2 linked regions of the Lonchura striata genome follow. The protein of the gene in region 1 purifies or fractionates together with the protein of each later gene. This does not show direct contact. Links are inferred from orthologs where the notes say so. Each region holds a gene or a part of one and is shown on either strand. Other genes may lie near its edges. The genes, in order: PSMB3 and PSME4.

What was found.
Region 2: the proteins of PSMB3 (region 1) and PSME4 purify together in Homo sapiens (affinity purification with mass spectrometry; 3 studies listed by BioGRID and IntAct, counting the BioPlex papers as one, with this or other methods). This does not show direct contact. The link is inferred for Lonchura striata from reciprocal best matches to the Homo sapiens genes PSMB3 and PSME4.

The regions. Positions count from the first base shown.
Region 1 is NC_134627.1:7,420,309-7,432,723, reverse strand, and holds the start of PSMB3 (proteasome subunit beta type-3), read left to right. Parts: upstream 1-5,278; 5' UTR 5,279-5,435; coding exon 5,436-5,438; intron 5,439-6,022; coding exon 6,023-6,207; intron 6,208-8,199; coding exon 8,200-8,307; intron 8,308-9,547; coding exon 9,548-9,725; intron 9,726-11,793; coding exon 11,794-11,888; intron 11,889-12,415. UniProt on the Homo sapiens protein: Non-catalytic component of the 20S core proteasome complex involved in the proteolytic degradation of most intracellular proteins. This complex plays numerous essential roles within the cell by associating with different regulatory particles.
Region 2 is NC_134605.1:27,567,019-27,579,433, forward strand, and holds the start of PSME4 (proteasome activator complex subunit 4), read left to right. Parts: upstream 1-4,863; 5' UTR 4,864-4,927; coding exon 4,928-5,100; intron 5,101-10,706; coding exon 10,707-10,847; intron 10,848-11,334; coding exon 11,335-11,451; intron 11,452-12,415. UniProt on the Homo sapiens protein: Associated component of the proteasome that specifically recognizes acetylated histones and promotes ATP- and ubiquitin-independent degradation of core histones during spermatogenesis and DNA damage response.

The sequences.
Region 1 (12,415 bases):
TTTATTTTTATTTTTTAATTATTTTTTTTCCCACCTCCAAGCCCCGCCCGCCTCACGTGACCTCGTTTTTTTGGGGGGCTGCGGAGGAGGAGCCGAAATTTGGGGACCCCCCCCCAAACCCCCGGACCCCAAAGACCGCCGAGACCGCAGCCCCAAAATCCGCTGGAATAGCCCCAAAATTCGGTGCGCTCCCCCCACCCCACCCCAGGGTTTGGCCCCAAATTTTGACCCGGGACCGGGAAAAGGAGGGGAAAAGGAAGAAAAAAAAATAATTTTAAAAATAGAGGGAATTTCCAGCGGGAAAATGGGAAATTGGAGCGGGAGGGAAGGAAAAAATGAAATGAAATGAAATGAAATGAAATGAAATGAAATGAAATGAAATGAAATGAAATGAAATAAATAATAAAATAAAATAAAGTAAAATAAAATAAAATAAAAATAATAAAATAAAATAAAAATAATAAAATAAAATAAAAATAATAAAATAAAATAAAATAAAATAAAAATAATAAAATAAAATAAAATAAAATAAAATAAAATAAAATCAAATAAAATAAAATGGAAAAGCCGGGAAGGAAATTAAGGAGGGGGAGAGGAGGAGGAGCGGGAGGGGCTGAGGGAGCGCGGCTCCCGCATTCCCGGGATTACCGGCGGCTCCCGGGGATTCCCGGTGAGCCGCTGTCCGTGCCGCTGTCTCGGTTCCCGGGATGCCGGGGCTGGTTGTCCCATTCCCGGTGTCCCTGTCCCGTTCCCATTCCCGGTCTGCTGGTCCCGTTCCCGGTGTCCCGTTCCCGGTATCCTGTCCCTGTATCCGCTTCCCGGTGTCCCAGTTCCATTCCTGGTACCATGTTCCCATTCCCGGTCTCCCATTCCCGGTGTCCCGTTCCTGCTGTTCCGGTATTCCCGCTGTCCCATTCCCGTTCCCGGTCTCCCATTCTGGTGTCCCATTCCCATTCCCGGTATTCCCAGTGTCCTGTTCCCAGTATTCCAGTATTCCCACTGTCCCATTCCCATTCCCGGTATTCCCAGTGTCCTGTTCCCAGTATTCCCAGTATTCCCACTGTCCCATTCCCGTTCCCGTTCCCGGTATTCCCAGTGCCCTGTTCCCAGTATTCCCAGTATTCCCACTGTCCCGTTCCCGTTCCCGGTATTCCCAGTGCCCTGTTCCCAGTATTCCCAGTATTCCCACTGTCCCATTCCCGTTCCCGGTATTCCCAGTGCCCTGTTCCCAGTATTCCCAGTATTCCCACTGTCCCGTTCCTGTTCCCGGTATTCCCAGTGCCCTGTTCCCGGTATTCCCATGTTCCCATTCCCACTCCCATTCCCGCTGTCCCATTCCCATTTTGGCTGTCCCATTCCCTTCCCGTTCCCAGTATTCCTGCTCCCGTTCCCATTCCCGGTATTCCCGGTATTCCCAATGTCCCATTCCCATTCCCATTCCTGTTCCCACTGCCTGTATTCCTGTTCCTGCTCCCGGTATTCCAGTTCCTGGTATTTCCATTCCCACTGTCCCGTTCCCGTTCCCAGTATTCCCAGTATTCCCAGTATTCCCAGTATTCCCGGTGTACCATTCCCATTCCCAGTATTTCCTGGATTCCCGCTGTCCCATTCCCATTCCTGCTCCCATTCCCAGTATTCCCATTCCCATTCCCACTGTCCCAGTTCCTGCTCCCATTCCCGGTATTCCTGGTGTCCCATTCCCGTTCCCTGTATTCCCGTTCCCGTTATTCCCTGTATTCCCGCTGTCCTGTTCCCATTCCCAGTCCCGTTCCCATTCCCGGTATTCCCAGTGTCCCATTCCCGGTATTCCCGCTCCCTGTATTCCCGGTATTCCCCCTGTCCCACTCCCTGTATTCCCGGTATTCCCGCTCCCTGTATTCCCGGTATTCCCAGCATTCCCGGTATTCCAGTATTCCCGCTGTCCCGTTCACGGCATTCCTGGCATTCCCGGGATTCCCGGGATTCCCCGTATTCCCGTTCCTGGCATTCCTGCTGTCCCATTTGAGGCATTCCCGGTATTCCCGTTGCCGGTATTCCCGGTATTCCTGACATTCCCAGTGTTCCCGCTCCCGGTATTCCGGAATTCCCGGTATTCCCCTTGTCCCGCTCCCTGTATTCCCGGTATTCCCGGCATTCCGGTATTCCCGGCATTCCCAGTATTCCCGCTGTCCCGCTCCCTATATTCCCGGTATTCCCGGCATTCCCGCTGTCCCGCTCCCGGTATTCCCGGTGTTCCCGGTATTCCCGGCATTCCCGCTGTCCCGCTCCCGGTATTCCCAGTATTCCCGGCATTCCCGCTGTCCCGCTCCCGGTATTCCCGGTGTTCCCGGTATTCCCGGCATTCCCGCTGTCCCGCTCCCGGTATTCCCGGTATTCCCGGCATTCCCGCTGTCCCGCTCCCGGTATTCCCGGTGTTCCCGGTATTCCCGGCATTCCCGCTGTCCCGCTCCCGGTATTCCCGGTGTTCCCGCTGTCCCGCCATCCCGGTATTCCCGGTGTTCCCGGTATTCCCGGCATTCCCGCTGTCCCGCTCCCGGTATTCCCGGTGTTCCCGGTATTCCCGCTGTCCCGCCATCCCGGTATTCCCGGTGTTCCCGGTATTCCCGGCATTCCCGCTGTCCCGCTCCCGGTATTCCCGGTATTCCCGGCATTCCGGTGTGCCCGGCATTCCCGCCATCCCGGTGTTCCCGCCATCCCGGTATTCCCGGTATTCCCGCCATCCCGGCATTCCCGCCATCCCGGTATTCCCGCCATGCCGGTATTCCCGGCGTTCCCGCCATTCCCGGTATCCCGGTATTCCGGCGCCGAGCGTTGGCGGCGCGGCGGGCGGGCAGCGCGGTCTCTGTGGCGCAATCGGTCAGCGCGTTCGGCTGTTAACCGAAAGGTTGGTGGTTCGAGCCCACCCAGGGACGGCCGCTCCTTTTCCCGCTTTTCCCGGCGCTTTTCCCGGCGCTTTTCCCGGCGCCGCCACGGGCGGAACCGGGCACGGAGAACATTCCGGGACACCGGAGCCGCTCCCGGTGCTCCCGGCCGGGCGGAGAAGCCGCTCCCGGTGTGCCCCGGGCCGTCCCCGGGGCTCTGCCGGGAGGGGATTGGATATCCCGGATTCCATCCCGATCCCGGATTCCATCCCGATCCCTGATTCCATCCCGATCCCGGATTCCTGATTCCATCCCGATCCCGGATTCCATCCCAATCCCGAATTCCTGATTCCATCCCGATCCCGGATTCCATCCCAATCCCGAATTCCTGATTCCATCCCGATCCCTGATTCCATCCCAATCCCGATTCCTGATTCTATCCCGTTCCCGGATTCCATCCCAATCCCGAATTCCTGATTCCATCCCGAATTCCTGATTCCATCCCAATCCCACTTTGTCCATCTCAGTTCCTGATTCCATCCCAATCCCTGTTTCCATCCCCATCCCTGATTCCATCCAAATCCCAAATTACTGTTTCCATCCTGATTCCCGATTCCATCCCAAATTCTGATTCCATCCCAATCCCAAATTCCTGTTTCCATCCCAATTCCTGTTTTTCCATCCCAATTCCTGTTTTTCCATCCCAATTCCTGTTTTTCCATCCCAATCCCTGATTCCATCCCAATCCCTGATTCCATCCCAATCCCGAATTCCTGTTTCCATCCGAATTCCTGTTTCCATCCGAATTCCTGTTTCCATCCCAATATCAAATTCCTGTTTCCATCCCGATTCCTGATTCCATCCCGATTCCTGGTTTTCCATCCCAATTCCTGGTTTTCCATCCCAATCCCTGATTCCATCCCAGTTCCTGATTACATCCCAATCCCGAATCCCTGTTTCCATCCCAATTCCAATTCTGGTTTCCATCCCAATTCCTCTTTCCGTCCCAATCCCAAATTCTTGTTTCCATCCCGATTCCCGTTTTTCCACCCCAATCCCGAATTTCTCCCCAAAGTGAAGCTGAAGGATCTCCCAGGGCGAGCGTCCCCCCTCAAATGCCAGAATTCCCAAAATGCTGGAATTCCCGAAATGCCGGAATTCCCGAAATGCCGGAATTCCCGAAATGCCGGAATTCCCGTTTCAACCCGGGGATCAATCCCGGGGTTTCAAATGGAAAACCCCTCAAAAATGCAGCTTAAAAAATGGGATTTAAAAATGGGAATTTAAAAATTGGGATTTAAAATTGGGATTTAAAATTGGGATTTAAAATTGGGATTTAAAATTGGGATTTAAATTGGGATTTAGCAGCAGAGCTAACAGATCCAGACAGATCCAGCTGTTCCCATTTTCCAGCCATTCCCATTTCCAGCTGTTCCCAATTACAGCTGTTCTCCCATTTTCCCAACCCATTCCCAATCCCCACCGTTCCAATTTCCAGCTGTTTCCCCAATTCCAGCTGTTCCCAATTCCAGCTGTTCTCATTTTCCCACCCATTCCCAATTCCGGCTGTTCCCAATCCCAGCCATTCCAGTTTCCACCCGTTCCAAATCCCACCCATTCCCATTTTCCCACCCATTTCCATTTCCAGCTGTTTCCCCAATTCCCAGCCGTTCCCATTTCCAGCTGTTTCCCCAATTCCAGCTGTTCCCATTTCCAGCTGTTTCCCTAATTCTACCCATTTCCATTTCCAGCTGTTTCCCCAATTCCAGCCGTTCCCAATTCCAGCTGTTTCCCCATTTCCAGCTGTTTCCCCAATTCCAGCTGTTTCCATTTCCAGCTGTTTCCCCATTTCCAGCTGTTTCCCCAATTCCAGCTGTTTCCATTTCCAGCTGTTTCCCCATTCCCAGCCGTTCCCATTTCCCCACCCGTTCCCAGCTCCCGCCGTTCCACTTTCCGGCTGTTCCATTTTCCCGCCCATTCCCATTTTCAGCCGTTCCACTTTCCGGCCTTTCCCATTTCCCAGCCGCGGCCCCGCCCCCTCGTCGCTCCCGTCGTGCCTCGCGCGCTCGCTGTGATCGCCATTTCCGCCCCGCCCACCCTCCCCCGCCTCAGCCAATCACCAGCGCCCGTCCCGCCCACCCTCCCCCGCCTCAGCCAATCACCTGCGCGCGCCCCGGGCGGCGGCGGCGACCAATGGGAAGCGCCAAAGTGAGAGCGGCGGTCACAGCGACCAATGGGAAGCATCGCCGTGAGCGAGATGGCGGCAGCCAATAGGAAGCGGTGAGGGCGGGAGTGGCGTAGAATTGACCAATGAAAAGCGGCGGGGGCGGGAGTGGCAGTGGGATTGACCAATGGGAAGCGCCAGAGGCGGGAGTGGCAGTGGGATTGACCAATGGGAAGCGGCGGGGGGCGGGAGCGGCGGCGGCGTGGCGGGGCCGGAGCGGGACCGGGAGCGGTGACACAGCGGGGACGGGACCGGGACAGAACCGGGGCACAACCGGGACAAAACCGGGACAGAACCGGGGCAGAACCGGCACCCAGCGGGGACTGAGGCGTCACCGAGCAGCCGCAGCCATGGTGAGACCCGCGGCGGCGCCTCCGGTACCGGGAGTGTCCCGGGACATGAACCGGGGATGTCCCGGGGATGAATCCCGGTACCGGGGCTGGCCCAGGACGTGAATCCCGGTACTGGGGATGCCCCGGGGATGAATCCCGGTCCCGGGGCTGGCCCGGGAAATCAATCCCGGTGCCGGGGCTGTCCCGGTGATGGTTCCCGGTGGTGCCGGGGTTGCCCCGGTGGTCCCGGTGCTGACCCGGTGCCGCCGGTGCTGACCCGGTGCAGTCCCGATGGGGCTGGGGCTGTCCCGGTGCTGTCCCGGTGTTGACCCGGTGCCGCCGGTGCTGACCCGGTGGTGCTGAGGCTGACCCGGTGATCCCGGTGCTGACCCGGTGCTGACCCGGTGGTGCCGAGGCTGACCCGGTGATCCCGGTGCTGACCCGGTGCCGCCGGTTCTGACCCGGTGCTGTCCCGGGGCTGTCCCGTTTCTGACCCGGTGGTCCCGGTGCCGGTTCTGTCCCAGTGCCGGTGGTCCCGGTGCCGGTTCTGTCCCGGTTCTGTCCCGGTTCTGACCCGGTTCTGACCCGGTACCGGCTCCCCGCAGTCCATCCTGGCGTACAACGGCGGCGCCGTGCTGGCCATGCGGGGCCGGGGCTGCGTCGCCGTCGCCGCCGACCGGCGCTTCGGGATCCAGGCGCAGACCGTGAGCACCGACTGCCGCCGGATCTTCCCCATGGGCCCGCGGCTGCTGCTCGGCCTGGCGGGGCTGGCCACCGACGTGCAGAGCGTGTGAGCACCGGGAACGGGAACCGGGAACGGGAATGGGAATGGGAATGGGAACGGGAACGGGGAACGGGAACGGGAATGGGAACGGGAACGGGGAACGGGAACGGGAACCGGGAACCGGGAATGGGAACCGGGAATGGGAACGGGGAACCGGGAATGGGAACGGGAACCGGGAACGGGGAACCGGGGCTGGCCACGGACGTGCAGAGCGTGTGAGCACCGGGAACGGGAACGGGAACGGGAACGGGGAATGGGAATGGGAACGGGAACCGGGGCTGGCCACCGACGTGCAGAGCGTGTGAGCACCGGGAACGGGAACCGGGAACGGGAACGGGAATGGGAACGGGAACGGGAACGGGAACGGGAACGGGAATGGGAATGGGAACGGGAACCGGGGCTGGCCACCGACGTGCAGAGCGTGTGAGCACCGGGAACGGGAACCGGGAACGGGAACGGGAACTGGGAATGGGAACGGGGAACGGGAACCGGGGCTGGCCACCGACGTGCAGAGCGTGTGAGCACCGGGAACGGGAACGGGAACGGGAACGGGAACAGGAATGGGAACGGGAACGGGGAACGGGAACCGGGCAGGGGGATCGGGAACCGGGGCTGGCCACGGATGTGCAGAGCGTGTGAGCACCGGGAACCGGAACGGGAATGGGAACGGGAACGGGGAATGGGGAACGGGAACGGGGAACGGGAATGGGGAATGGGAACGGGGAATGGGAACTGGGAACGGGGAACCGGGAATGGGGAACGGGAACGGGGAACCGGGAATGGGGAACGGGAACGGGGAACCGGGGCTGGCCACGGACGTGCAGAGCGTGTGAGCACTGGGAACGGGAACGGGAACGGGAACGGGAACGGGAATGGGAACGGGAACGGGGAACGGGAACGGGGAATGGGAACCGGGAACGGGGAACAGGAACGGGGAATGGGAACGGGAACAGGGAATGGGAACGGGAACCGGGGCTGGCCACCGACGTGCAGAGCGTGTGAGCACCGGGAACGGGAACGGGAACAGGGAATGGGAACGGGAATGGGAATGGGAACGGGAACGGGGAACGGGAACGGGAACCGGGAACAGGGAACGGGAACGGGAACTGGGAACGGGGAACGGGAACCGGGAATGGGAACGGGAACGGGGAACGGGAACGGGAACGGGAACCGGGAACAGGGAACGGGAACGGGAACTGGGAACGGGGAACGGGAACCGGGAACGGGAACTGGGAACCGGGAACGGGAACCGGGAACGGGAACAGGGAATGGGAACGGGAACCGGGGCTGGCCACCGACGTGCAGAGCGTGTGAGCACCGGGAACGGGAATGGGAATGGGAACGGGGAATGGGAACGGGAACGGGAATGGGAACGGGGAATGGGAACGGGAACGGGAACCAGGAACCGGGAACGGGAACGGGGAACGGGAATGGGAACGGGAACCGGGAATGGGGAACGGGGAATGGGGAATGGGGAACGGGAACGGGGACCGGGAATGGGAACGGGAACGGGAACGGGAACTGGAAACGGGAATGGGAACGGGGAACGGGAACGGGGACCGGGGAACCAGGGCTGGCCATGGACGTGCAGAGCGTGTGAGCACCGGGAATGGGAACGGGAACCGGGAACGGGAACGGGAACCGGGCGGGGCTGCAGGGCTGGGAAATCCCTGCTAAAACCCAACTTTAACTCCTAAAACCCGACTGTCAAGCCCTAAAATTCAATTTTAACCCCTAAAATTCACTTTTCCCTCCTAAAAATCCAACTTTAACTCCTAAAACCCGACTTTTAACCCCTAAAATTCAACTTTCAACCCCTAAAATTCAACTTTTTACCCCTAAAATTCAACTTTCAACCCCTAAAATTCAATTTTAACCCCTAAAATTCAACTTTCAACCCCTAAAATTCAACTTTTAACCCCTAAAATTCCCCTTCCCCTGCTAAATCCCGACATTAACTCCCAAAATTCCCTTTTCCCCCCGAATTTGGCTCCCCAGGGCGCAGCGGCTGAAGTTCCGGCTGAACCTCTACGAGCTGAAGGAGGGGAGGCAGATCAAGCCCCAGACCTTCATGAGCATGGTGTCCAACCTGCTCTACGAGAGGAGGTGAGGCTGAGAGCGGGGCGAAAACTGCCCAAAAAATGCCAAAAAATGCAAAAATCGGGAAAAAACGGGAAAAGCTGCTGGAAAACGTAAAAAACGGGGGAAAAAACGGGGAAAAAAACGGGGAAATGGCAAAAAAAAAATCGAAGAAATGGAAAAAAGCTGGGGGAAAAAAACGGGGGGAAATGGTAAAAAAGATCTGGAAAAAAGTGGGGAAAAAACTGGGGAAAATGGCAAAAAAAAAAAAAATCGGAAAAATGGAAAAAACTGGGGAAAAAATTGGGGAAAATGGTAAAAAAAAAATGCAAAAAACTGGGAAAAAAAGGGAAAAAACTGCAGGAAAATGCAAAAAACTGGGAAAAAACCTGAGGAAAAGTGTCAGGGATGGGATCCCCGTGACCCCAGGAGGACTGGGAGGTCCCCGTGACCCCAGGGATGACCCCAGGGATGACCCCTGACCCCAGGGATGACCCCTGACCCCAGGGATGACCCCAGGGATGACCCCTGACCCCAGGGATGACCCCGTAAGGACACAAGTGATCCCTGTGACCCGAGGAGGACAGGGAGATCTCCCTGACCCCAGGGATGACCCCTGACCCCAGGGATGACCCCAGGGATGACCCCGGAAGGACAGGGATGGTCCCCGTGACCCCAGGGATGGTCCCCGTGACCCCAGGGGTGGTCCCTGTGACCCCAGGGGTGGTCCCTGTGACCTCAGGGATGACCCCTGACCCCAGGGATGGTCCCCGTGACCCCAGGGATGACCCCAGGAGGACAGGAACCATCCCTGTGACCCGAGGAGGACAGGGAGGTCCCCGTGACCCCAGGGATGGTTCCCGTGACCCTAGGGATGACCCCAGAGGGACAGGGTGGTCCCTGTGACCCCAGGGATGGTCCCGGTGACCCCAGGGATGACCCCAGAAGGACAGGGATGGTCCCCCTGACCCCAGGGATGACCCCAGGAGGACAGGGACGGTCCCTGTGACCCGAGGAGGACAGGGAGGTCCCTGTGACCCCAGGGATGGTCCCCGTGACCCCAGGGATGGTCCCTGTGACCCGAGGAGGACAGGGACCATCCCTGTGACCCGAGGAGGACAGGGTGGTCCCGGGGATGCCCCCTGACCCCCGGATGCCCCCGGGATGCCCCCGGGATGCCCCCTGACCCCCGGATGCCCCCTGACCCCCGGATGCCCCCTGACCCCCGGATGCCCCCTGACCCCCGGGATGCCCCCGGCCGTGCCAGGTTCGGGCCGTACTACGCGGAGCCGGTGATCGCGGGGCTGGACCCGCTGAGCCTGGAGCCCTTCATCTGCTCGCTGGACCTCATCGGCTGCCCCATGGTCACCCAGGACTTCGTGCTCAGCGGCACCTGCTCCGAGCAGATGTACGGCATGTGCGAGTCCCTCTGGGAGCCCGACATGGTCAGTGACACCGGGGACACCTGGGGGGACATGGGGACACCTGGGGACACCTGGGGACATGTGGGGACACATGGGGGGACAGCTGGGACAGGCTGGGACAGCCTGGAGACACCTGCTCCGAGCAGATGTACGGCATGTGCAAGTCCCTCTGGGAGCCCGACATGGTCAGTGACACTGGGGACACCTGGGGGGACATGGGGACACCTGGGGACACCTGGGGACACCTGGGGACACCTGGGGGAACATGGGGACACCTGGGGACACCTGGGGACACCTGGGGGAACATGGGGACACCTGGGGACACACCTGGGACAGCTGCTCCGAGCAGATGTACGGCATGTGCGAGTCCCTCTGGGAGCCCGACATGGTCAGTGACCCTGGGGACACCTGGGGGGACATGGGGACATGTGGGGACACATGGGGGGACAGCCTGGGACAGCTGGGACAGGCTGGGGACACACCTGGGACACCTGGGGACACGTGGGGACACACCTGGGACACCTGCTCCGAGCAGATGTACGGCATGTGCGAGTCCCTCTGGGAGCCCAACATGGTCAGTGACCCCGGGGACATCTGGGGGGACATGGGGGGACACCTGGGGACACCTGGGGACACACCTGGGACACCTGGGGACACGTGGGGACACACCTGGGACACCTGCTCCGAGCAGATGTACGGCATGTGCGAGTCCCTCTGGGAGCCCGACATGGTCAGTGACACTGGGGACATGTGGGGACATGTGGGGACACATGGGGACACCTGGGGACACCTGGGGACACCTGGGGGAACATGGGGACACCTGGGGACACCTGGGGACACCTGGGGGAACATGGGGACACCTGGGGACACACCTGGGACAGCTGCTCCGAGCAGATGTACGGCATGTGCGAGTCCCTCTGGGAGCCCGACATGGTCAGTGACCCTGGGGACACCTGGGGGGACATGGGGACATGTGGGGACACATGGGGGGACAGCCTGGGACAGCTGGGACAGGCTGGGGACACACCTGGGACACCTGGGGACACGTGGGGACACACCTGGGACACCTGCTCCGAGCAGATGTACGGCATGTGCGAGTCCCTCTGGGAGCCCAACATGGTCAGTGACCCCGGGGACATCTGGGGGGACATGGGGGGACACCTGGGGACACCTGGGGACACACCTGGGACACCTGGGGACACGTGGGGACACACCTGGGACACCTGCTCCGAGCAGATGTACGGCATGTGCGAGTCCCTCTGGGAGCCCGACATGGTCAGTGACACTGGGGACATGTGGGGACATGTGGGGACACATGGGGACACCTGGGGACACATTGAGGTAGATGAGGGGACAGCCTGGGGGACAGCCAGGGTCACCTGGGGTCATCTGGGATAGCCTGGGGACACCTGGAGACACCTGGGGACAGATGGGATAGCCTGGGGACATGTGGGGGGACAGCTGGGACAGGCTGGGGACACATGAGGGGACACACCTGGGACAGGGTGGGGTCATCTGGAATAGCCTGGGGACACCCAGAGACACCTGGGGACACCTGGGATGGCCTGGGGACAGCTGGGGACACCTGGGGACAGCTGGGGACATGTCAGGGGATAGTCTGGGATAGCCTGGGGACACTCGTGGCTTGTGGGGGACACCCAGGGACCTTGGGGACACCTGGGGTGGCCTGGGGACACCTGGGGACACCTTGCTGCACCTGGCAGGGGGAGCCTGCAGGGTTTGGGGGGGTTGGGGTCAGTTTTGGGGGGTTGGGGTCAGTTTTGGGTGGGTTGGGGTCACTTTTGGGGGGTTGGGGTCACTTTTGGGGGGTTGGGTCAGTTTTGGGTGGGTTTGGGTGAGTTTTGGGTGGGTTGGGGTCACTTTTGGGTGCGTTGGGGTCACTTTTGGGTGGGTTTGGGTCAGTTTTGGGTGGGTTGGGTCAGTTTTGGGAGGATTGGGGTCACTTTTGGGTGGGTTGGGTCAGTTTTGGGTGGGTTGGGGTGAGTTTTGGGAGGGTTGGGGTCACTTTTGGGTGGGTTGGGGTGAGTTTTGGGGTCTCTGCAGCCCAGCTGAACCCGTTCCTCCCCAGGAACCCGAGCAGCTCTTTGAGACCATCTCGCAGGCCATGCTCAACGCCGTGGACAGGGACGCCATCTCGGGCATGGGCGTGGTGGTGCACCTGATGTGAGAGCCCCGTCCTCCCCCCCCTTCCTTCCCTTCCCTCCCCTTCCCTTCCCTTCCCTTCCCTTCCCTTCCCTTCCCTTCCCTTCCCTTCCCTTCCCTTCCCTTCCCTTCCCTTCCCTTCCCTTCCCTTCCCTTCCCTTCCCTTCCCTTCCCTTCCCTTCCCTTCCCTTTTCCTCTTTCCTTTTCTTTCCCCTTTCCCTTCCCTCTTTTCTTTTCCCTTTTTCCATTTCCCTTTCCTATTTCCCTTTTCCTTTTCCCTTCCCCCAGGGATCCCCAAATCCAGGGCTGGCACTGCCCTGCTTCCCTTCCTTCCAAGGATCTCCCAAATCCAAGGATCTTTTTCCTTTCCTTTCCTTTCCTTTCCTTTCCTTTCCTTTCCTTTCCTTTCCTTTCCTTTCCTTTCCTTTCCTTTCCTTTCCTTTCCTTTCCTTTCCTTTCCTTTCCTTTCCTTTCCTTTCCTTTCCTTTCCTTTCCTTTCCATTCCCTTTTCCCTTTTCCCTTTTCCCTTTTCCTTTTCCATTTCCCGT
Region 2 (12,415 bases), on another chromosome or scaffold:
TACCCCATGGGAGAAGCTGCTGCTTCAGAAACGTGCCAAAAAGTCTCCCATGCAGATTCCATGCACAAAACCACTCAGCCAGAAGCAAAGGATAGATAATTCTTTAGCAGGAGAGAAAGGATTGGTTGCTTAAGGGAATATTTAAGTGAGATTTTTTTCTCTTCCAGAATTCATAAATATTTAAATACTTCTGATCCACATGTCCAAGCAGTAAACACACAATCCACCCACAGAACTAAAGCCTGAACAACTACTTAAGCTATGGCCATGACAAACATAATTATTTGTGCTGAATGCTACTTAAAACAAGACTGAAAACCCGAGCAAATATTTTTGGTTGCTTTTTGATTTATCCTGCATTGGGAAATCAGACCTTTATTTTTTTTTAATTTTTCATCTTGACAAGGAATAGACAAACCAGAGAACTGCAGATGAAGCTGCAACAAATGCACTTGCATTTGTATTATTGTTTAAAACCAATAAATATGATCATCCACCCAGGCACTTGGGGTAAGGTGTGTCACAATCCTCTCTGGCAAACACAGGGCAGCTGCATGAGATACCCAAGTCCATAATGAGCAGTTTCTATGAGAGTGGCTGCAGGTTGCCAAGGGACTGTGTTTCCTTGATTTCCGAGAACAGCAGAATCCCTAGGAATAACCTTTGTGAGTTCACTGTCATCACATGCTCCTCTGAGGCTGGTTTCTGTTTGGCAGGAGAGTGAGACAGAAAAATCCACTTCAATGGCTCAAGAGGAACAGAAAAGTAACCCTAATGTCTCTTTCCCCAAAGTTGGCTGCATTTCTGTAATGTCCAAGAAATTATTATTTATTTCAAATAGCTGTGAGTAATTTGGAAAGAACCTCTTACAAAGAGGCTCAAGTCTATTGCTTTTTCTCCCTGCAGGCACAATCGTTTCCAGGGATATCTTTGGGAGTTTCAGACATGTAGAGGAAACAGCCTGTCACAAGCAGAATCTCTGCTGTGGATTTGGGACGTTCATGCTTTCCAAATCTTAGGCAATAAGGCACCAAAAGATAACAAATCCAGGGAGTGGAGAGGAAAAACACTTTTGCTATAAATTAATTTATTTCACCAAGGAGAATTGAGGTTCTGTTCTTGTACGTAGATTGTCCACTGTAAGCACAGTAACCCCTAAGTTCAGCTGGAAAAGAGCCCAAAAAATATCTTGTGAATGGATATAATTGAGCATGGATTTAATTCTCATAAACAGAACCACTGGCAATATAAAGTGAAGGATAACAATGCTGCACCTATTTGGTCAGGCTTGTCTACATAATAGAGTTTTAAAAATTATACAGGTGCCTACTTTAACCTCTTCACGAGGGCCTCTTATTTCTGCACAACAGAAATATTCCACTCACATTAGAACACACAGATCCAAACAGGCATTGCAGAAAAAGAATATTCAATGTATGTGTTGTAGGTGACACCAAACCCGCCTCCCCATCCAACTTGAAACATGTAATGGAGTATTTATATAGCCTTATTTTAGGGACCTAAATTAGTTCCTCTGAATCACACTTTAGAAGAACCTATTTTTGTCCCATACTACACAGGAAACTCTAAGTTCCTCATTCAGATGCTGTAATCACTCTTGCCCTCATCTCCCAAATAGACAAATTCTCTGTAAAATAGAAGTTTTATGTGACAGAGATGTTTCTGAGTTGCTTCTTTGGTACCTTTCAGCACCAGCTTAGTATGACTGACCAGTTTAGAAATATGGGGCTGAGGGGAAGTATCCTCATCAAAAAGCAGCTATTCTTTATTCCTATAGTGGCACTTTGTGAGATATGGGGGCATCATTGACTGGGACAGGTATGATACAGGTAATATGAAGCTCCTGTTGGATTGGCTATTCTTTTCCAAACAGTAAAATCATAAGAGTCGTTTAGGTTGGAAAGGAGCTTAAAGCCCACCCAGTTCCACCCCCTGCCATGGCTAGGGACACCTTCCACCATCCCAGGTTGCTCCAACCCTGTCCAGCCTGGCCTTGGATACTTCCAGGGATGGAGAAGCCACAGCTTCCCTATGCTAGGGCCTCCCCATCCTCACAGAGAAGAATTTCTTGTGTATATCTCATCTAAACCTATTCTCTTTCAGTTTGAAGCCATCTCCCCTTGTCCTGTCACTCCAGATCCTTGTGAAATGTCCCTCTCCATTTTTCTTGTAGGTTCCCTTCAGGTATTGGAAGGGCCTTGGGCACTGAAAAATGGGTAGAAATCTGTCACTGGAAAAGTATCCAACTTGGGTGGAAAAGGACAGATGGGTCACTAAGGAAAACATCTGTGCTAAGTAGTCCCTGGAGAGGTGAGGCAGCAGGAAGCAAGGCTGAGTGACAAGATTCCCAAATCCCTGTGCCAGTGCTGGTGCTGGCTGCCCTCAAGCATCACCCAACAAGGGAACATGTGGACAACCGCCAGCGTGACCCATGCCACTGTCAGCACTGGAAGTTTCTCATGAATGGGATGATTTTGTTTTTCTCACAACTACTCCACTTGGATTTATCAGCTCTCAGGAGGCAATGCCAAAACCAACAGGTGGCTGCCATATTTGGGTTGCTGGTAATTCATATTCCTCCTACTTAATAAAAGAGGAAGAAGCTGTTGATGTGAAGTGGCACAGACGGGTCCTGTGTTATGAAAGCCCCGTCCTTCATCAGCTGATTCGGGAACCAAATGTGCTTTCACACACTGCTGCAGCCAAAACATATTGCAAACTTGAACAACACATTTATTTTTGACTCACTTGGCAAAATGTATCTCTTTTTTTTTCTCTTTTTAAAGAGCAGAATGGTGGCATAGCAGGGAGGGGAAAGGATTAGGTTTTTTTAATAATTACTACATTTAATTAGTAAATGAATCAACATGCAGAAAATACATTCAAAAAGCAAGTACTACAAGTATGCTTACTACTGTTATTACTAATGGAGAAGAATCTCCTCTCCCCTTGTTTCAGACTCTGAAAACAGGAACGAAGAGATCAGATTAGTTAGTAGGATGACTGTCAGAGGTGCTGATGGCATAACTTGGCATGTTTTTCCCCAAAAAGGAGTGTTTAATCCTGGTGGAAGGCATTCATGTGTCTGAGGCCACAGCTGAGAAGGCAGCTTGTTGGCTTGGACAGAACAGGCTCCCTGAGGTCAGAGGCGTTAATTCACATGCCAAATATTCCAAAATGCCTGAAAAATCAAGACTTAGTTTTAACTTGGGTTAGAAAGGGCAGGAGTAATTTTTACAACATGGCTACAAAGCAACAGAATGCAGCTGGGATGCTCCTGATGTATCTGCCAACTTCCAATTTTATAAAACTGGGCTAGAATTTTGAATTTTTCTCCCTCCAAATCCAAACAAACTGCATGCTTCAAATTTGACAAACACTTTCCCACATTGGAAATGTCTGAACAAAACACCATTGTGAGTATCAAGAATTGCCTCTAAGTGACAGAAAGTAATTTTAGACTTTTCAATTTCAATGCACACATATTTTCACTTACCCTTTTCATTAACTATAGATATTGTTTTTTAATTACAGCTCTTGGGCCAATTTATCCTTGACTGAATTGCTGATAAAACTATTAATTTCATATGGTTTATTTCTGTTTTCACCAGAAAAATACTAAATCAAGATATACTTTATCCCCATAGAAGGCTGACCATGATCAAGTTTTCATTTTTAATTCAAGCCAGAAAGGGCAGAGATTCATCTATGAATTGTTTTGCCTCATGCAGTTATAAGGCAACACAAGCGTAAAGTCCCTTTGAAAGATGGCAACAAATTTAGTGAAGTTCAGCTATTTCGAAATAACGTAAAAGTTGTGCATGTGATCCACGAGATCATGTGATACAAAATCTTCTAGGAATTTCAGAAGAATGGGACACTAAACAAAATCCTGGCGCTCCCTTTATTAAAAATACTAGTCTAGGATGAGGAAAGTAAATGATGTAAATGCATTAGTCAGGAAGATGCCATGATGCCCTTGCCTGTCATACTTAGGTTTCCTGTGGCGTTTCTCCTCTCCCTGTCATGTTCCAGAATTTAGTTAGCATCTCTTTTTTTTTTTTTTTTTCATTTTAACCAGAGCTAGTTTGAGCATAAAGATAGAAAACAGGATTTGCCCTCGTCAGTAGCTCTAAATCTAATCAGTTTGCAGCTGTTGTATGGCCACGATGTAACTCTTGAGGGGAAATTCAATTATATTAGGACAGCTGGAGATAACAGCTATCAGTGCTGTTATCACATATCCCTCAGCAGTTTATCCCACACCCACGGCCCGCGGGCGAGCTCTTCGCTCCTGACTAGCGTTATTTCAAATAAGCCTCTTAGGCAGCCGCGCAATCTGCTATTAAACTCCGGGGCTAATTACAGCACTACCGAATCAATTAGGCTGGCAAAGACCTCGGAGATGACAGTCGAGTCCAGCCTATGGCCGGACAGACCCCGGCACTGAGTGTCCGGTCTGTCCCTGCACCTCTCCAGGGATGGGCACTGCCCCGTTACCTCCAGCGCCCGCCCCATCCCCACCTCACCCCGAGTGTTTTTGAGCGAGAACCAATGCTTGACTCCCTCCCGATGAGAGCAGCCGGCGGGTGAATGTTTTCACTCCGAATTACGCGTCCAGGTGGCGGCAGCTTTAGGAGAAGAGCTTTTCAGCAAACCGCAAAGGCGCAGAGCGCGGCCCCTGAACTCGGGCGGGCACCGTGACCTTTCCGCCCCTCCCCGCGGCGGTGCGCAAAGCACCGCCCCGGCCCAGCCCCGGCCCCGCGCCCCCGGCCCGGCCCCGCGCCCGCCGAGCGCCCGGAGCCGCCCCGGGCCCGCCTTCCGCCGGAAGTGAGCGGCGCAGAGCCGAGCGGGGCGGGCGGGGCGCGGCGGCCGCGGTCACCGGCCCTCCTCGGCCAGCGCCGACATGGCCCGGCCGCCGCAGAAGGAGATCGTCTACAACAAGCTGCTGCCCTATGGCGAGCGCCTGGAGGCAGAGGCCGCCCGCTTCCTGGAGCACATCAAGGGCAACCTGGCCCGCGCCGTGCAGCTGCAGGAGCTCTGGCCCGGCGGGCTCTTCTGGACCAGGAAGCTCTCGACGTGAGTGCCGGGGCGGGACGGGGAGCGGGGCCTCGGGCTGCGAGCGGCGCGTCAGTCCCGTCCCTTGCCTTGCCGAGCCCGGCCGAGCCGTGCCCGGCTCGCCGGGAGCGCCTCCCGCATAACGGAACCGCCGGCACCCGGCCGGGCCCCGCTCCGGCCGCTGCCCCGTCCCTGCCTGACACAGGGCCAGCACTGCCACCTCGGAAACGGGGACAAAGGTGGCTCCGGCCGCAAGAGCTCGCCTGCCGCCTCTGAAACTTCCGAATTCTACGACTTAAGCGCTTGTGCGTTTAGCTCGTGCTTTTGTTTTTAATACGTGTGTATTTTTTAATGCCTGTATGGCCACCTGTTTCACCTCTCCCCTTCTTAAGCAAGTTGTAGTTGATAAAATCGCCGTGTAACTTCTGCTATAGGGACACGGCGTCTTTCTCAAGACAGGCCGTTTGTTGGGTCAGTGCTGGCAGGATTAAACTGTGGCTTAATGCTGGGTAAACACCGCTGGTGCCCTTGATATCTTGGCTGAACTCTGGCGTGGGGTGGTTTGTGCTGATGTTGGCCGTGCTGTGTGTGCTGGCAAGGTTGTTCTTATACTGATGAACCCACGGTGCTTTCATAGATAGCACCGAGTACGACATAGGTTTCTTCTCGTGAATTTTACGAAGTACACTTGACCCTATTTTATTCGGGACACTCTGGCACTGTGTATGGCATCACATGACAGCGAGTCCTGTAGCTGCAATCAGTAAATTCTGTGGATGTTTATCACATTTGTTGCTGAATGCTGTGTGTGCTTTCACAAACAGCGTTTCCTGTGTGCCAGAAACAACAAAGTACATGTGCTTGAACCGTTTTGAAACACTTACTTAAAACTTCTCTCCTTACATAAGTATTTTTTTATAATATCATTTGAGAATTTAATAGACATTTGTTAGTTAAAGCCTGCTAAATTCAACTATATTGGAATGTAAGCGTCTTTCTGTTTCCCAAGAGGCAGTCTTAGATAGAATTACAGTGGTGGTTGCAAAATGACTCACATGTTTGTGTTATGTGACAGTTTGAACCTGCTTGGAGCCAGTTCAACACAGCTTCCCTTCCCACCCCCTAGCCATCTGCCTACTCATACTGGTTTTGATGGTACCTGTTGTCTATACCTGTGGTGGAACTTCCCTTTCCCATCGAGTTGAAATAAACTTAGGAGTCCCTGCTGTGAGAAAAATGAGCTTTAGCTAAACAGGCTGAATAGACACAGAAATTCATTCTAAATGTGCCTTAGAATCACCCTGTTACTCACTCTGTAAATGGCAATTGCTGTTACCACTTCAGGCTCCAGGGCAGTGAATTTGGCCTACTGCTGTGCTGCTTTATGAATCACAGAAAGGTCAGCAGGCTCCAATTTGTGGTTTTCCACCTACACTTTGAAGTTTGATTGAAGTTTGAATTCATTGTGAGTGTTTGCAGCTTGTCTGATGCCTGTTAGTACCAAGATTTTTCTTTGTGGCATTTTAGATAAAGGGAGGCTCTGAGTGTGTTTGGTGTGGGCAGGGGAGGAAACAGTGGGCTTGGTGTAAAAAAAATAAGCTGGTGTAGTTAATGTGAGAGATGTGCTGCTGCTCTGTTTGACTTGACAAAGTACTTATAGGGATAAAAGGCTGAGAGAATCCAGATTGTTCAGCCTGGAAAAGGGAAGGCCTGGGACAATCTAATTGTGGCCTTCCAGTACCTGAAGGGAGCAAACAAAAACATGGAGAGGTACTATTTGTACAGGCGTGGAGTGCCAGGGCAAGGGGGAATGGCTTCAAACAGCCGGAGGGCAGGGTTAGATGGGATATTGGCAAGGAATTCTTCCCTGTGAGGGTGAGGAGGCACAAGCTGTGCAGAGAAATTGTGGCTGCCCCTGGATCCCTTGAAGTGTACAAGACCAGGCCAGATGGGGCTTGGAGCACCCTGGGATAGTGGAAGTTGTCCCTTACCCATTGTAGGGTGTGGCACTGGATGGGCTTTAAGGTCCCTTCCCACCTAAACCATTCTGTCATTCTGTGAAATACAGTAGCAGAAGTTCAGGAATAGCTAAAACACTTCCAGCCTTGTGGTGTTCATGACAATAGAATCCAATTTTTACTGTCTCTCGATAGTCAGGGACTCATCTCCAAAGTGACTTGCTCTCTTTTTTCTCTCCTGAAAAAAAACTATAATTAATTAAGAGAAAATGCTCAGAATCTTCATAATGACTGCTTACATTTGTTGCTAATGTCTGAATTGCAAAGGCCAGAATTCTTGCAGTATTCTGTGTAACAATTTACGTATTTATTTATTGTACAGATAAAAATGTTAACGCAGGTATGTTTATATGCAAATGAGCAAAGCAAACATGGCATGCAGATTATATACCTGCATAGTTTAACCTCCTCAGCTTTTTACAACTCTGTGCCTCAGGAGAGAATGAAAGTGAAACTCAGATCTTTTATTGAAATAAAAAATTGAGTAGTCTTTCATGGTGACAGCTGAATCATGTAGTTTTTATACCCCCCACAGCTGGAACCATGACTTGGACATATTTATCTTCAGACCAGCTGTTTCAGCTGTCTGATGTCACTAACTGAGTAGGGAGGGAGAACAGAAAAGAGGCAGAATAGGAGTTTATCAGACATAATGTCTGTAAGCTGATTTGAATAATTCTTTTATGGGTCATTTTCAGTGGTGACACCTGGTTCTTTTGGGATGTGTGTGTGGACTGTGGTGAGAGAACTTCCTCTCCTTTTAGGAAAGTAACTTATGATTTGATGAGGCTTCTGAAGCAAGTAAAACTTGCCCCAAAGACTGGCAGTTAAATCTCTAATAATTGCTCCAAGATTCCTCCAGCTTTGTCTGGTAAAAGCTTGTAAAATGCTAGCCAGTTGTGAAAGCAGAAGAGTGAATTTCAGCTTGCCACAGTGTGTGTGGGGAAAGCAGGTTACATCAAAATAATTTGCTTAACTGGTCTTGCTCCATAATTTTTTATGGTCTTTATGTCAGCAGTATACGTTGTCTCAACTTCCCCCTCTTTCATGATTCACTGATTGTTCTAAAAATTAAAAAAAAAACACTAAACATAGTCAATAAGTGAACATATTAATATAATATGGACATTTCATGGTTACTCTGCAGCCAGGCAAACACACAAATACCTTTCTATGTTTTCTCCTCCAGCGGTCAGGGGTGTGGGAAGATGAAGGACTCAATTGTGTCCCTGATGGTGTTATTTTATGTGCTTGTCAGGTGTAGACTTATAAAGTGACATTCAACTGTCTTGCTGTAAGGTGTGGAAAAAACGCAGCTTAACTGTTTGGAAGGGGAATGACAGAACACAAAGTTAGTGAGGATGAATGTCTCCATGGGACCTTGCCAAGTATTTTAATCGCCATAGCCTAGAAGTCTTGTTTGACATCTTTCTCTCATCTTTATCAGGGAAACAGAAGCTTTCTTTGGCTGTGTGAGGGATGTGTGTGCTGTGTACATGTACATGTGATTTAAGCAGTCCTGCTGAGTATGATTCATTGCTTTTCACATCATTTGTCAAAAACTGAGCTTTAAACCAGTCATGATCCTGTTTTGTGTGCTAGGAAATGCAGATGGAGGGCCAGGAATTTAGGGGAATGGGCTGTTCAGCTTCTGAAGGAGAGGTAATTTTTAACTGTAGCAGAGCAGCCAACTTTCTAGGGCAGTTTAGGGTGGCCACATGATATGATAGTACACTTCCTAAAAATAGGCCTATTGTGCTTTTGGAGGGAGAGATTGGATTCCCAGCACTCTGAGACTAAGGAATTTGCTTTATGGTGTTGGGTTTTTTTTGTTGTTTTTTTTTTAATCTCCAGAAACCCTGTACTCTGTACAGAAAGGCTGGAGTTTGAAACAGAATTTTCATGCCTTAATAATGTTTTTCATATTATGTGGGTGTGTTTTAATTGTTGGATTTTTGACTTTTTTTCCTTATAGCTGAACAGTGAAGGACAATAGTTTTATCCTTTTTGCAGGTTAAGAACTCATATCATCTCAATGTAGTATTATCTGCTTTCAGAAGTTTCATCTTTTATTTTGTAATAATTTAGTTCTGCAATTATTTTTTTCCCCAGTAACCCAATTATCCTGAAAAGACACCATTTCTATGATGAACATTATCTGTCTGATTAGCCCCTGAACACCCTTCAGGGCTTATTAAGTTCTGCCTATATTCTTTTATTTTTATAATGGTGATATTTCATCCCTTCTGAAGGGATATTCTGAAAATTTTGCAGTTCCCCTCTGAAAAATTTTTCTTGTTTAATCTTGAGCAAAAGGCTGAGCACCCCATTCTAGGAGGATTTATTTTTTGACACTGCCTTAATGCTCATCTGGATTCATACAAATAATTGACCCCTTTCAGATCTGCCTCCCTCCTACATAAAGAAGCTGTAAAATATGGGAGCAATTTGGCATCAAGTCCTGATGCTTGGGTATAGTGACATCTTTGTGTTCCGCATGTTTCTGTGTACTTTACTCCTTTCTTAATTAAACAGCATTTTGTGTAGCAGAGCTGTTGTTAGCAAATGTCACGGAGACCTGCCAAACATTTTATTTTCAGTTATATATAGCAATACTGGCAGATAAATTTGATCTCTGTGTTTCTTTGTAGTTAAAACTTATTTTACAGGCTTCTGCAGTTTATTTTTTTTTTTTTTTAAATCATATGTGTTTCACCCATTTTTCTTTCCCTGAGGATTCTTTTTCATGTTTTTTTTAGGCATGTGAAAAGTGCTGGTGTTCAGCTCTTGGTGGTGTAATTCTGTAGGTAGGTAGTGTCTCTGGCCAATCCAGATTATTTAGGTTCCTGTGGTGGAAAAGCGGGTTATTCTGTATTTTGTTTGTTTCCTTCTGTGTTAAAAGTAAGTACAAGATGTTGGAATGAACATTTGTGAAAACACTGCCCATCAAAAGTAAACATCCCCCCCTTGAATTTGACAGGAAAAGGGAAGTGGAAAGCAGCTTTCTTATGCATATTTAAGAACAGTCAGAGCAGTAATAAAAAGGGAAGTTGCCTCCCAGTGAATTGTAATTTACAGCTGTGCCACACCTAAAATGCTCTGAAAGGACCTTATATAGGTTTTTCTGGTGCAGAATATCTTTCAAGACTTGAAATATGTTTCTTTTTTTCAATCTCAACTTAAAACCAGCAAACACTTCTTCTGGAATGAGTCTGATGGATCTACCCTTGGTGAAGACAGTGAGACACACCACTGGCAAAGCTCAGTGTCTAAATCAATTGTTCATCCTTGCTGGAAGCTGTTGGATTTGGGTTTGTCTTGATACTTTTTGGGTTGTTTTTTTAGCTTCTGGATTGTGTCCTGTCCATGAGGTTACAGTATTTGTAGAATCTTAGAGGTCTGTAAACTTTATTTGGTCATTCTTTTTCTTCCTATAATTGCAGTTGTAAATCTTCCTTTGGTGTGTACCTTCGGGTTCTTAGTTGTTGGGCTTGAGAACCAGGTTTAGTTTTGTTTCACTAAACAGCAAATCAGAGGGATTCTGGCTCAGGTCTTGGATAAATTGGATGTTTTAAAATATTGCTGACTCCCCTTGTGTTTGGTTTGCAGATACATCCGACTGTATGGGAGAAAATTCAGCAAGGAGGATCACGTGCTGTTTATCAAACTATTGTACGAGTTGGTGACAATTCCAAAGCTGGAGATCAGCATGATGCAAGGATTTGCACGCCTGCTGATCAACTTGTTAAAGTGAGTAGAGATTTCTGCTGACTGTGGAAACTTCTGTGTCAGAACAGTTGATCTCTTGCTCAATGTTGTACCTTTCATGTAACAGAGTTCTTACAGGTTACTTCACTTATCTGACCTCTGCTGGTGGTTAAAGGGTTCTCTTGTGCAAACACCTTCAAAGCTTTAGGAGTGGGACTGAAAGTGGAAGAATGCCAGGTTTCCCCATATCAGGAAAACCAAACAGTTCAGAGAGCCAAGAATTAAGGCTGAATCTCAGCTAGAGAGAAGATGAAAACTGGCTCACGACTTGATAATGTTCATTTCACTTAGTCAGGGAAAATCTTGACAGTGTCACTTGTGCTGAAGGCTGCCAGTGGCCAGCCTGGTACTGCCTGGCCTTCCTGCAGTTTGTGCCAAACTGGGAGCGGGGATGGGGGTATTCCCATGTGCTGCGTGTCCATGTCAGTGTTTTTAATTCCAAACTGCCTAGTGTTTTGTTTCCTATTAGGAAAAAGGAACTGCTTTCCAGGGATGATTTAGAGTTACCATGGCGACCACTCTATGAAATGCTGGAAAGGATATTATACTCCAAAACAGAACATCTGGGATTAAATTGGTTTCCCAAGTAAGTTCACATTTGAAAACATTTGATAGACCATTAGTACCTGCTTTACAGTACTTTGTAATGTGCTTTTAATATCGGGAATTTGATACATAGGAAATATTCTGTTTCTTTTTTCACAAGGCACCTTTCAATAATTGCATGCAGAGCTCCACTGAATCATGTATCTCCTTCTGCTTTGTGTTTGTCATGCTTTTTCTTTCTATATGAATGTGATTAATTTTTAAATACACTGCAACAGAGGTCTTGCTCAACTGATTTTAGGATGATAACCCACAGTTTAATAAATTTAGTATGAAATATTTAACAGTATTGTTGTGGTTTAACCCCAGCTAACAATGAAGCCTTGCATGCTGCCTTTCCTGGTGGGACTGGGGAGAGAACTGGAAGGGTAAAAGTGAGAAAATCTGTGGGTTGAGCTAAAGATGGGTAATAACGTGAAGGAAGTTAACTTACTCCAGCCAAAACCAGCACAGGTACTAAGTTAAATGTATGCTGTTCACTTCTATAAAACAGTAAAGTTGTGGGGGAAAAGATACAAACAGTACTGTCTGTCAGTATTTGTCATGTAATCATTCCCAGGATCTGGAATCCAGGTATAAATGAGTCTGCTCTCCAAGAAAAGTGAAATATTTTCTATAGGAAATACAGGTATTTATCAAAGTGATGCCATGATAGGGTGAAATAATTTTCTTTCTCCAGCTGAGAATTTTAGACATGTTCTGCTGATTTTAAAAATGAAAACTTGTTTTCTTTGCTTTCTCTGTGCTGTCAATCCCTCTGCATCTGTCAGATTTTCAGACTTAAAATTTTCATAATTATCCCAGTCAGAGAAGGTCCTGCTCTATAAATTACAAATTAGATAGGTCATGGATAATGCCTTATCTTTGTCTGAATTGAAACTTAATGTCAAGAAATGCGGGTGAAAGTGCTTCATTTGCTTTAAAAAAAATAGTTTTCTGAATGA